Anolis sagrei: one gene and its partner. The protein of the gene in region 1 binds, or shares a complex with, the protein of each later gene. Links are inferred from orthologs where the notes say so. Each region holds a gene or a part of one and is shown on either strand. Other genes may lie near its edges.

The links. Proteins that work in one complex are often made in the same cells at the same time.
Region 2: PA2G4 (region 1) and SRSF1 share a complex: the UniProt entries of both Homo sapiens proteins name them as parts of the ribonucleoprotein complex. The link is inferred for Anolis sagrei from reciprocal best matches to the Homo sapiens genes PA2G4 and SRSF1.

The regions. Positions count from the first base shown.
Region 1 is NC_090022.1:146,812,595-146,819,591, forward strand, and holds the start of PA2G4 (proliferation-associated protein 2G4), read left to right. Parts: upstream 1-3,915; 5' UTR 3,916-4,115; coding exon 4,116-4,203; intron 4,204-6,997. UniProt on the Homo sapiens protein: May play a role in a ERBB3-regulated signal transduction pathway. Seems be involved in growth regulation. Acts a corepressor of the androgen receptor (AR) and is regulated by the ERBB3 ligand neuregulin-1/heregulin (HRG).
Region 2 is NC_090031.1:19,485,731-19,492,685, forward strand, and holds the start of SRSF1 (serine/arginine-rich splicing factor 1), read left to right. Parts: upstream 1-3,918; 5' UTR 3,919-4,418; coding exon 4,419-4,612; intron 4,613-6,955. UniProt on the Homo sapiens protein: Plays a role in preventing exon skipping, ensuring the accuracy of splicing and regulating alternative splicing.

The DNA of each region.
Region 1 (6,997 bases):
AATAAAGATTAATGGTGTAAAGCTTTAAAAAATGACAATTTCGGCTTCCATTTGCAGCCACCTCTCCACAAAAGCAGTCATTGATGCCGAAATACAACACCGTCTGAGCTCTGTGAGTGCAGCATTTTATTCAAATTAAGCAGATAATGTTTAAAGATCAGGGCATTAGTAGGGATACCAAGATGCATGTTTATAAAGCTATTGTCCTTCCAACTCTATTGTGTGTCTGCGAGACATGGAGTGACAAATGTCACTCGACTTCTAGAAAGATTCCATCAGTGTTGCCTTCGAAAAATCCTGCAAATCTCTGAAAATTGGGAAGCCCTGACCCTTAAGCACTGTAAGAGGAGGTCAGCTGTTACCAACAGTGCTGTGGATTTTGAAGAGGCACAAATAGAGGGAGAAAGGGAGAAGCCTGCTGAAAGACAGATACATCAAACAAGCCCTTGTTGGGACTTTTCTTCCATCTAGAAATCGATGTTCTCATTGGAAAAGACCATGTAGATTCAGGATAGGTCTCCACAGTCACTTACAGACCCACAGCCAAGACTCTACCTTTAGAAGACAATCATACTTGGCCTTGAGTGACTTTTACAAGGTCTTTAGCCTTCCCTGTCAAAGACTGATACAACTCCTACAATCCCATAGCATCGAGCCATGGTAGTTAAACTGGTGGCAAAGTGCATGAATTCTACTGTAGATACACACTATAGGCAGATAAACAGTGTGGGAGGCAGGTGGATCTTTCACACTATTTCAAGCCACAATCTTTCGTCAGCATTTGCATTCGTGGCTATGAAGCCACTATTCTGGATCAACCTGCAGTGCCAGTTCCTGTGTGAACCTACTCCATGAATCCATCATTAACTTCCAGCAAACTGGTCTGTTGGGGAAAAAATCAGATCAGAATGAATTTAGGCACCTTCTACACAGCCATTATCAAAGCAGATAATCCACATTATCTGTTTTGGATTATCTGCGTCTACACTGCCATATAATCCAGTGCAAAGCAGATTTTATATGGCAGTGTAGAAGGGACCATAGTCTCAATGCTGCATCCACACTGTAGAATTAATAGTTTGACAAGTCTTTAACTGCAATGGCTTGATTATATGGAATCATGGGAGTTATAGTTTCACAAGCTCTTCAGCCTTCTCTGGTGCATTATCAAACAACAACATCTATGGTTAGCACTGACTCATAGCAGTTCATGTTGGGTCACAGTGCCTTACTTTTACAGTGTAGATGTATTAAAAGAGATGGAATTGTGGGAGTTGTAGTTTTACAGGAACTTTAATAATCTCTGCCCCAGAGTGCTGGTCCCTCACCAAATTACAACTCCCAGGAATCCACTGCATTGAGCCACAAGTCGCTTCTGACATGATTAAAAAAAGTGAATTGAGCCACGGCCATGGAAGTGGTATCAAACTGCATTAATTCAACAATATAGATGCACTCTCTCTTGCCGACACACACAAAGGCTCTGTAAAAGGACAACTCCCAGGATTCCACAGCATTGAGCCTGACAGTCAAACTCCATGAACTCTACAGCGCAAGGTGTACTCAAAAGAGAAGAGCCTTAAAGGCACAGCTTAATAATAATTATTATTATTATGCTGCGTCTTTGAGGTTCTGCTCTTTTGAGTATACCTTGCACTGTACAGTTTATTATTATTTGATTCAATTCCATCATTGGTTGAGTTCAGAATGCTCTTTGATTGTAGGTGAACTATAAATCCCAGCAACTACAACTCCCAAATGACAAAATCAATTTTTTTGAGTGAAGGACATAGATTGGGTTGTTAGGTGTCTTGGGTCCAAATTTGGTGTCAATTCATCCAGTGGTTTTTGAGTTCTGTTAACCCTACAAACCAACATTACATTTTTATTTATATAGACGACATTTATATGCCACCCTTCTCACCCCGAAGGGCGTTACAGTTCTGACTGTTGCTACGTGGTCCTTATACAGATTCCTCAGGAGAGAGGCAAGGGGATTTGGTATGCCCATACCACCACCACCACGGGGAATAACATTGCTTTAACTATGAGTTGAGTCCCACAACCTATGCAGTATGGAAGTTGTTGTTGTTCATTCGTTCAGTCGTTTCCGACTCTTCGTGACCTCATGGACCAGTCCACGCCAGAGCTCCCTATCAGCCGTCACCACCCCCAGCTCCTTCAAGGTCAATCCAGTCACTTAAAGGATACCATCCATCCATCTTGCTCTTGTTTGGCCCCTCTTCCTTTTTCCTTCCATTTTCCTCAGCATAATTGTCTTCTCTAAGCTTTGCTGTCTCCTCATGATGTGGCCAAAGTACGTCATCTTGGCCTCTACTATCCTTCCCTCCAATGAGCAGTCAGGCTTTATTTCCTGAAGTATGGACTGGTTGGATCTTCTCGCAGTCCAAGGCACTCTCAGCACTTTCCTCCAACACTACAGTTCAAAAGCATCTATCTTCCTTTGCTCAGCCTTCCCCAAGGGTTTTATTGGTTTTAACGGGTATAGATGTAATGTATTGTTGTCGATTGTTAAATTGTGTTATTTGTTTTATTGCTGTGGTATGTTACGGGCATCGAATTGTGCCTTGGATGTGTAAGCCGCCCTGAGTCCCCTTCGGGGTGAGAAGGGCAGGGTAAAAGTAAACCAAATAAAGAAAGAAAGAAGTAAGGTCCAGCTCTCACATCCGTGAAAGAAGAAAGCGCAAAAGCCGGGTTGCAGCTAAACATCAAAAAAACCAAGATTATGGCAGCAAGAATGATTGACAACTGGAAAATAGAGGGAGAAACCGTGGAGGCCGTGACAGACTTTGTATTTCTAGGTGCAAAGATTACTGCAGATGCAGACTGTGGCCAGGAAATCAGAAGACGCTTACTTCTTGGGAGGAGAGCAATGTCCAATCTCGATAAAATAGTGAAGAGTAGAGACATCAGACTGGCAACAAAGATCCGCCTAGTCAAAGCCATGGTATTCCCTGTAGTCACCTATGGATGTGAGAGCTGGACCTTAGGGAAGCCTGAGCGAAGGAAGATCGATGCTTTTGAGCTGTGGTGTTGGAGGAAAGTGCTGAGAGTGCCTTGGACTGCGAGAAGATCCAACCAGTCCATCCTCCAGGAAATAAAGCCTGACTGCTCACTGGAGGGAAAGATACTAGAGACAAAGTTGAAGTACTTTGGCCACATCATGAGGAGACAGGAAAGCCTAGAGAAGACAATTATGCTGGGGAAAGTGGAAGGCAAAAGGAAGAGGGGCCGACCAAGGGCAAGATGGATGGATGGCATCCTTGAAGTGACTGGACTGACCTTGAGGGAGCTGGGGGTGGTAACGGCCGACAGGGAGCTCTGGCGTGGGCTGGTCCATGAGGTCACGAAGAGTCGGAAACGACTGAACGAATGAACAACAACTCACATCCGTAGGTTACTATGGGGAACACCGCTGCTTTGACTATGTGGATCTTCATTGCCAGTGTGATGTCTCTACTCTTCACTATTTAAACAAGATTGGACATTGCTCTCCTCCCAAGAAGCGTCTCCTGATTTCCTGGCTGCAGTCTGCGTTGGCTGTAATCTTTGCACCTAGAAATACAAAGTCCGCCACGGCCTCCATGTTTTCTCCCTCTATTTCCCAGTTGTCAATCATTCTTGTTGCCACAATCTTGGTTTTTTGATGTTTAACTGCAAGCCAGCTTTTTCGCTTTCTTCTTTCACCTTGATTAGTATGGATTAGTATTGAGTATGGAAGAAGGGCCCTCAAAGCCAAGTAACTCTGCCTGCAGTTCCACCAGAAGCCTTTAGGTGGCAGGCACGGGGCTTGACAGGAGGCGCTTCCCTTTCGTGGCATTGTAAGGGTTGTGGGTTCTTTTTCTCTTCCCGGCACCCTTTGCGCTGCCGCGGCCCCTGACGGGACCTGTAGTCCCTTGTGAGCTGAAGGCGGCGGGCTGGCTTCCCAGCGTGCCGCGCGCAAAGCCCGCGCGCTGGCTGGCCGCCTGTCTGGTTGTCGCGCGCGCCGTGAGGAGGAGACGAAACAGAGGCAGAGGCGGCGGCGGCGGTGAGGTGGACTCCCTCCGAGCAGGCAGGCAGAGGAGGGAGAGAGAGAGGCGGCTGAGGGTCCGACCATGTCGGGCGAGGAGGAGACGTCCGAGCTGACGATCGCGGAAGACGTGGTGGTGAACAAGTACAAGATGGGGGGAGAGATCGCCAACCGTGAGTGCCTGCCTGCCGGTGGGGGGCGCGGCCTGGGCCCGAGGCTCTGGGATCCTGGGAGTTTGGCCGAGGAGGGGGAGGGGGAGGAGGGCGAAGGGAATGGCGGCAAGGCGGGGAAACAGTCTCTCTCTCCCTCCCTCCAAGAGGAACCCGAGGCGGCCCACGACCCGCCAAGTTGGGCTCCTTTCAACTCCAGGAAGAATGAGATACAGATACACTGTCTGCGTGTGTTTTAAGCCCCCTCACACCATAATCCTCGATGGGTCCTTCCTCGAAAGCCCAGTTGTCCTTGGAGAAGAGAGAAAGAAGGAAGGAAGGAGGAAGGGTTGGACGACTCGGCCGCACATGGCGCGCTCTTCACGTGTTCAACCCTCTCCTTGCTACACTGAAGAAGAAGCCCACTTTGACTCCTGTGGAATCCTGGGAGTTGTAGTTCCACAAGGTCTTTGTGTGTATGTGTAGAGGGGGCGCCTCCAGACTGTCGAATAACTTCAGTTGGCCTCACTTTTTACCTGCCACGGAATCCTGGGAGTTGTAGTTTTGATAAGGCCTTTGTGTCCTAAACCAGTGGTTCTCAACCTATGGGTCTTCAAGTGTTTTAGCTTACAACTCCCAGAAATCCCAGCCAGTTTACCAGATGTTTGCTGAGAGTTGAAGGCCAAAACATCTGGGGACCCACAGGTTGAGAACCTCTGGTGTATGGGGAGTGTGTCCCCACGTGGGCGAAATAATACAGTTTGACCCTCCCTGGCTGAACTCTATGGAATCCTGAGAGTTGTAGTTTTCATAAGAGCTCTGTGTGTGGAAGAGAGAGAGAGCATGCCTCCATACTGTAGAAGTATTGCCCTTTGACCGCCCCACTTTTAACTGCCATGGCTCCTTATTATGGGGTGGCGGGAGTTGTAGTTTTGTTGAGGCACCAGCAGTTTTTGGAAAAGAAAGCTTCAAAACCTTGTAAAACTACAACTCCCGTGATTCCATAGTAGGGAGAGTCCTGTCGAATTGCCTTAGTTCTACAGTGTGTAGAATAGATTCACTCTGTCTTTCCAGAAAGGCATGCTAGTACTCTTGACTTTATTAGCAGTATATTACCAGCCATTTGGGTGTGCTGGGGGTGGATTCCCAGGCCCCTTCCACACAGCTGAATAAAATCCCACCTTATCTGCTTTAAACTTGAATATATGGCAGTGTGGATTCAGATAACCCAGTTCAAAGCAGATATTGTGGGATTTTCTGCCTTCATATTCTGGGTTGTGTGGAAGGGGGCCCCAGTCTCCTCTTCCGCTTCCCTTTCTTTAAAGGAGAGAAGGGGGGTTGCTTTTGGGGAGAAGCTAGTTGAGTGAGCTCCCTCCAGGCGCACATGGTCTGGCCCTTGCCATGTGGAGCTGGCTGGTGCTCTCTCCTTTCACTAGGAGTCCTGGCTCCCTCCCAGGTGGCTCCTTTTGTTGAAAGAAGAACTTCTGCTTGGGATCAGATCACCTCCTTTTTTAAAAAAAAATCCCTATTGTAATCTAGGAAGTTGATGATCAGGCATACAGGGAGCTAGAGCAAGGGAATCCCTCTCTTGTAGCTCATCCAGGACTTTGCTCACTCACTATGTGATAAATATAGAGAGAGCGTTTGCTTGCAGTTCACTTGTAGGCCAAAGCACTCTCAATGGGTGGTAAACACGTGCGCCCGGATTGGGTGATTGCATACCTTCCCCTGCTGGGCTTAGTTTTAAAATGGTGATTTATACTTTTGCTCTCTTCTCTCCCACCACCCACTTAATTTTGTTCTATCAAGGATTATGACTAGTAGCTCTCCTTTAAGAATACTGTTTAAAAATAGGCTAACCCCATGGAGTCCTGCTGATAGATTGAGTGGGGGCGAGAGGTGCTTTGAGTTCTGTCTAAAAGCAGAAAGCAGGATATCAATTAAATAAATAAATAAATATATATATTACACGGTGCTGCCTTGTGTAGCTTCATAAATGAGAGAGCTCAATGCTCTCAACCTTATGCTTAGAATTTAGTTTGAGTAACTTAAACCTCTACATTCACATTTTTTTCTGGTTGAGTTTTAAAACTTTAAGAGAAAATTCTCAAGCTTGGTGAAGTTTCAGAGAGGATATGTTTGTATGATGAAGGAAACATCTCAATTAGATGAATCAGAATTGTCAGGCAGTATTTCATTTTCCTTATACTTCACAGAAACTAAACAGTAGGAGAAGAAGGATGTTTTTATTCTCAGAAGAAGCACCATGTGTGTGTGCATGGGCCTTCATGTTGTCTGTTGATTTCTGGCAACCTCATGAATTTCATAAGGTTTTAAGCAAAACCAATTCAGAGATTGTTTTTTCCCCCAGTTCTTTAATCTGAAATATAGTCTACAGCGCCTGTTAATTCCTTGGTGATCTCCCATCCAAGTACCACATAGGGCTGACCCTGCTTAACTTCCAAGATCAGACATGTTCTGGTGTCTTTAGAGTATTTAGTCTTTGTTTTAGCTTTGTTGTAGGAATAATTAAAAACCTAATAATGGGGTTACAACTAGAGCAGACTCTGAAGTAAGGAATAGAGGTTACTAGCCTGCAAAATAAAAAGATCTTGCTGGGTGAGGAGAGACCAAGGTCTGAATTTCTATGATGGGTTTCTTCCTAGAGTCCTTTTGTTGCTTGCTTATATGAAATTCTAGACACACGAGTGTGCCCTTCTTGATATCTTATGGCTACCAGGCCAGTGCTCTCATTCAAGGCTGAGTTAAAGAGATCTATGTCAGTTGTCAAGGGACTCAGTGTGCCTATCAAATTGAT
Region 2 (6,955 bases), on another chromosome or scaffold:
GGGAGAAAATATGAAAATATAGAAATTATGTTATAGTAAATATACCCACTTAAAAGTTAAAGTTTGTATGCGGCGGAAGTGTGGCGGTGCGACAGGGTATGTGCCAGCGTTCTGATTGGCTGCCACTGTGGTGCTATTTGCATATGGTTTTTTGATTGGCCAGATTCAAGAGGAGCCCCTGGTGGAGAAAAGGGTTCATGACAGAAACGGAGACATGAGAGAAGGAAATTTGCATATTGTCTCTGATTGGCCAGCCTCAATTCCAAGATTCCGAGATGACAAAGAGAGGAAAGGAAAAGGCCAGGGGCTGGGTCAGAAAATTACCAATACAGACCAAACTTGGCACACAAAGCCCCCATGACCCACTCTACATCCTACTGCAGTTTGGAGGAGGATGAACCATGGATGATGGGACTTGCAGTACCATCACTCACATTCTGAGACCGCTGTTAACCTCATCCAATGACTGATCAGGACCAAACTTGGCACATAGACCTCTCATGACCCATTTTACGTCCTGGTGTGGTTTGGCCGGGGATAGACCATGGATTATTGGACTTGCAGTACCTTTGCTCAATTTTTGAGACCACTGCAACCCTCATCCAATTACCGATAAAGACCAGACTTGGCACACTGAGTCTCCATGATGCACTCTACGTCCTGGTGCAGTTTGGAGAAGAATGCACCATGGATGATGGGACTTGCAATACCTGCACTCCCTTCCTAAGACCATTACAACTGCCTACAATGATGGATCGGGACCACAATTCACACAGAGAGCCCGCATGACCCACTCTACATCCTGGTGTGGTTTGGAAGAATTTGGCAATGGATGATGGGACTTGCAGTCACTTCACTCACTTTCTGAGACCACTGAGACCCTCGCCAATGGCTGATCAAGACCAAACTTGGCACACAGAGTCCCCATGACCCACTCTACATACTGGTGCACTTTTGAGGAGGACAGACCATGGATGATGATGGGATTTCAAGTACCTCCACTCCCCAAGACTGCTGCAAAACTCATCTAATGACCAATCAAGACCAAACTTAGCACACAGAGCCCCCATGACCCACTCTACATCCTGCTGCAGTTTGAAGGAGGATGGTTTTTGGATGATGGGACTTGCAGTACCTTCACTCACTTACTGAAACCACAGCCACCCTCATCCAATGACTGATCAAGATCAAACTTGGCACACAGAGTCCCCATGACCCACTCTACATCCTGGTGCACTTTCGAGGACAGACCATGGATGATGGGACTTCAATTACCTCCACTCCCTTCCCAAGACTGCTGCAACCGTCATCTAATGTCTGATCAAGACCGAACTTGGCACACAGAGCTGCCATGACCCACTCCACTGTTTGGAGGAGGATGGACGATGGATGATGGGACTTCCAGTACCTTCACTCACTTCCTGAAACCACAGCAACACTTATCCAAATACCAAGAAAGAACTTGGCAAACTTTGGCCAACTGAACATTCTGATGAGGTTTGGGGGAGAACAGACTTTGGAGGAGGATGTGACTTGCAGTACCTAAACTCATTAACCATTTCTTAAGATTGGCTCTGCATCTCGTGGTGCCAGAGCGCAGTCTGTTCAGCGCCTTCCAAGTCGCCCAGTCTTCTGTGTGCCCAGGGGGGAGTCTCTCACCTGGTATCCCCCACAGAATGAGGTGCTGGGTTTGAGCCTGCCACTTTTGAACTCTTGCTTGCTGAGGTGTACCAGCGAGTATCTCTGTAGATCTAAGAAAACTATTTTTTGATTTGAGTCGTTGACGTGCTGGCTGATACCCAAACAAGGGATGAGCTGGAGATGTCTCTGCCTTGGTCCTTTCACAATCCAATGATTGATCAAGAACAAAACTTGGCACACAGAGCCCCCACGACCCACTCTCCATTCTGGTGCAATTTGGAGGAGGATGGACCACAGATGATGGGATTCGCAGTACCTTCACTAACTTCCTAAGATCACTGCGAGCCATATAAATAACTGATAAAGACCAACCTTGAGACACAATTCCTTTCTCAAATAACACCAAGCTAGTTTTTAATAAATCCGTGTTGACTATTAGCAATGACTGCATTTGTTTCTAAGTGTTTGCAGACCTATTCCTTAACATTTTTTTCCAGAATCTTGCCTGGTATCGACGTGATCTTCCTTTTCCCTCCTTCTTCCCTTTCTGTTTTCCCCTTTCCTCCATCCCCAAAGGGATCCAGGCAAAGAACGCCTTTGGGGGAAAAGAGAATAGAAAGCGGTGCAGTTTTCGGCCATGGCCACACGATGGCAGCAAAGGGCCGTGGCGGGTGAATGAAGAGGGGGCTGCACTTCCCGATGTGTCCACTGGGCGGCCAAGGCAAAGGGATCACCCTGGAGCCCCAAAGGAAACCCAGAGGCGCTCGCTCACAGGCCTGTAGCGAGGGGGGGGGGGGGGGTTGGGGGTTCAACCCCCCCCTGAAATGTTTCAGATTTTTTTTAAAAAAACCTGGTTTACTCATGAATTTTAACTGGTTAACCAAATCCCCCTGCTAAGTCTATGAGATGCAAAAAATTCAGAGTCCCTCCAGAACTGCAAGCACTATCTCAGGTAAATATTGACAATTTATTCACACTGTCATTACTTGCAGCAATAGCCGATGTAGCGAAGCATCCAAGTTGGGGGGGGGGGAGGTTGTTGAATGCTCTCATTAAGGAGGCCAGACTTGGTGGAGGTGGTTGACAGGGGCGGAGCTGCAGGCTATGGAAGACTGCTCTGCCCCCTGCTGTGCTCTTTGCGGGGATTGTGGCGCAGCTGGCTGAGTGTCAGCTGCATTAAGATCACTCTGACCAAAAGGTCATGAGTTCGAAGCCAGCCCGGGTTGGAGTGGGTTTCCAACCAATTGTGTGTAGCCTGTTGTCGACCTTTGCAACCCGAAAGACAGTTGCATCTGTCAAGTAGGAAAATTAGGTACCACCTTAAAGTGTGGGGAGGCTAAATAAAGAAGACTCTGGCAAAGCATTCCAGCGGGGAAGATAAAGGTAAAGGTAGTCCCCTGACATTAAGCCCAGTCATGTCTGACTCTGGAGTGTGGTGCTCATCTCCATTTCTAAGCCGAAGAGCCAGCGTTGTCCGTAGACACTCCAAGGTCATGTGGCCAGCATGACCGCCGTTACCTTCCCGCCGGAGCGGTACCTATTGATCTACTCACATTTCCATGTTTTCGAACTGCTAGGTTGGCAGAAGCTAGGGCTGACAGCGGAAGCTCACGCCGCTCCCCGGAATTGAACCTGCGACCTTTCGATCAACAAGCTCAGCAGCTCAGTGCTTTAACCGACTGAGCCACCGGGGGCTCCTCCAGCGGGGAAGTGTGCGGGGAATGTGGAAGTGCTTCCTCAGCGTCGCAGATGGACGATGAAAGCGACATCTCCCCTGGCGGCCAGAAAAAGTTAAATAGCCTCTGTGTATGTCTGTATATGTTTGTATGTCAAAATTGACATTGAATGTTTGCCATATATGTGTACACTGTAATCCGCCCTGAGTCCCCTGCGGGGTGAGAAAGGCGGAATATAAAAGCTGTAAATGAATAAATAACATAAATAGAAGGCAGGTTTCAACCCCTCCCCCCCCCCCCCAAATTTCAACCCCTCCCGAAAAATTTTTCTGGCTACGGCCCTGCTCGCTCGTCTTTCTCTTTTTAAACTACATTTAAATCTCCTTGTCTGCTCTCTCTTTCAAAAAATACGGGGCCATGTTTGAATTTTCCTTTCAGGGAGTCTCTCTGGTAGGATTTTTCCGTCAGGCACCACAATAGCCGACTAAGCGTGCTTCGCTGTGCATTGTGGGCCTCGTGCTTGGCTTTGGCGCGAAGGCGCTCTGGCGCGCGTTGCATGGTGGGAAGGCGGCGCTTCTCCCCTTGAGCCGGATCTTCTTCCAAGCCGAACAAGGGGGAAAATAGAGGAGAATCGCTGCGCGCGTCTTTCCTAGGCCTCGGCCTCGAGTGGCGAGTAATCGAAAGGGGAGCGTAAGGAAAACGTTTGCAAGCGGAGGGACTTCTTTTTTCTCTTGCGCATGCGCAATTGGAAAGGCGGAGGCATCTGAGGAGAAAGCGTGAGAGAGTGACGTCACGGCGCGCGCGCGCGAGACTGAGAGGATCCTTGCGCGAGGCAGGTAGAGCCGCCATTTTGTGTCGCTCTGAGGGAAGGCGCGTCCGAGGCGGATCCCTCCCAGTCGACTGGGCCCGGCGCCTGCCTGCATCCCTCCTTCGCTTTCTCAGGCCCCGTTCTTGCTTCCCCTCTCTCCCTCTTTCTTTCCTTTCTTTCTTTCCCTCGCTCGCTCCCTCCCTTCCTCTCCCCGCTGCGGGGCCCTTCTCGCCGGCCTTCCCTTTCTCCACGAGCCTCGGCCCCCGCCAACCGCAGCCATTGCCGACCTCGCCATGTCAGGCGGCGGCGTGATCCGCGGCCCGGCCGGGAACAACGACTGCCGCATCTACGTGGGCAACCTGCCGCCGGACATCCGCACCAAGGACATCGAGGACGTCTTCTACAAGTACGGCGCCATCCGGGACATCGACCTCAAGAACCGCCGCGGGGGGCCGCCCTTCGCCTTCGTCGAGTTCGAGGACCCCAGGTGAGGAGCCCCCGCCCCCCCCCCCATTATGTCAAGTCTGGACTGCACAATTCAACCCCTACCAACAGATGGCCACCCAACTTCAGAATCAGAGTTGGAAGAGGCCCTCAAAGGCCATCCTGCCCAGCCCTTCATGGCAAAGGATAGTATAATTCAAGCCCTATCAGCAGATGGCTGTCCATTCTTCGATTCAGAGACTCCCACAGTGGAAAGGGGCCCCCAAAGGCCATCCAGTCCAGCCCTTTATGTCAAGGGACAGTGCAATCCAAGTCCTGCCAACAGAGGGATATCCAGCCTCTAGCTAGATCATATACTCCTAGAGCTGGAAGGGACCCTCAAAGGCCATCCTGCCCAGCCCTTCATGGCAAAGGATAGTATAATTCAAGCCCTATCAACAGATGGCTGTCCATTCTTCGATTCAGAGACTCCCACAGTTGAAAGGGGTCCCCAAAGACTATCCAGTCCAGCCCTTATGTCAAGGGACAGTGCAATCCAAGTCCTGCCAACAGAAGGACATTCAGCCTCTAGCTCAGTGGTTCTTGTCATGCGTTAGCATGAATCATAGAATCAAAGAGTTGGAAGAGACCTCATGGGCCATCCAGTCCAACCCCATTCTGCCAACCCCACTCTGCCAAGAAGCAGGAATATTGCATTCAAAGCACCCCTGGCAGATGCCCACCAGCCTCTGTTTTAAAGCCTCCAAAGAAGGAGCCTCCACAACACCAGGGCAGAGAGTTCCACTGCTGAACAGCTCTCACAGTCAGGAAGTTCTTCCTCGTGTTCAGGCGGAATCTCCTTTATTGTACATTGTATTGTTTGAAGCCATTGCTCCATTGCAGCCTAGTCTCCAGGACATCAGAAAACAAGCTCCCTCCCTCCTCTCTGTGACTTCCTCTCACGCATTTATACATGGCTATCATGTCTCCTCTCAGCCTTCTCTTCTTCAGGCTAAACATGCCCAGCTCTTTAAGCCGCTCCTCATAGGGTTTGTTCTCCTGAGTAGCATGCAGACTGACTCTAGCCCAGTTAACTGTGTGTGTGATGAAATTACTCATAAAAGAAAAACACACGAGACTTCGGCTTAAAGTAGAAAAGAAAAATATTGTAGTATTGGCAGCATACAAAAACAAAATAGCAGGATTACTGTTTCCACAAAAGTAACATGAAACAATATCTTCTGAGAGATATCATTACTCAGCTGAGATAAACAGGAATCCTTGTCCTCTTCTCATGGCTGTGTCTTCGCAGGACATCTGCAGCATAGTCCCCGGCTTACACAAAGCAGAACGGCACAGAGGCATAGATGCACAATAGCATAAACGCACAATGGCAAAGAACTAAACACACAGTAGCTATCTTTATACACATGAAAATAACACTCAATTAACTCTTCAATTAACTGAAACAGCTGTAGCACAAACAGCCTTGAACCTTACAGCAACTTAAAGTTATAGCACAAACAACACTGATCCTTACAACAACTTAGATAAAGTACGTTGCAATCTCTTAGTAGCAACAGTTCTCAACCTGGGGGTCAGGACCCCTGGAGGGGTCACAAGGGAGTGTCAGAGGGGTCACGAAGATCACCGGAAAACACAGTATTTTCTGTTGGTCATGGGGGTTTATGTGGGAAGTTTGGCCCAATTCTGTCGTTGGTGGGGTTCAGAATGCTCTTTGATTGTAGGTGAACTACAAATCCCAGCAACTACAACTCCCAAAATGTCAAGGACTATTTTCCCCAAACTCCACCAGTGTTCACATTTGGGCATATGGAGTATTCGTGCCAAGTTTGGTCCAGATCCATCATTGTTTGAGTGCACAGTGCTTTCTAAATGAAGGTGAACTACAACTCCAAAACTCAAAGTCAATGCCCACCAAACCCTTCCAGTATTTTCTGTTGCCCATGGGAGTTCTGTGTGCCAAGTGTGGTTCAATTCCATCATTGGTAGAGTTCAGAATACTCTTTGATTCCAGGTGAACTACAAATCCCAGCAACTACAACTCCCAAATGAGAGAATCAAGTCACCCCTCCCCCAACTCGTATTCAAATTTGGGCGTATTGGGTATTTGTGCCAAATTTGGTCCAGTGAATGAAAAACACATCCTGCATATCAGATATATACATTACGATTGATAACAGTAGCAAAATGACAGTTATGAAGTAGGAAGGAAAATAATTTTACGGTTGGAGGTCACCACAACATGCAGAATTGTATTAAGGGGTCACAGCATGAGAAAGGTCGAGAAGCTAGATCATATACTCCTAGGGTTGGAAGGGACCCTCAAATGCCATTTGGTCCAGCCCTTTATGTCAAGGTCTCCCATGACCTTCTGGCAAACAAA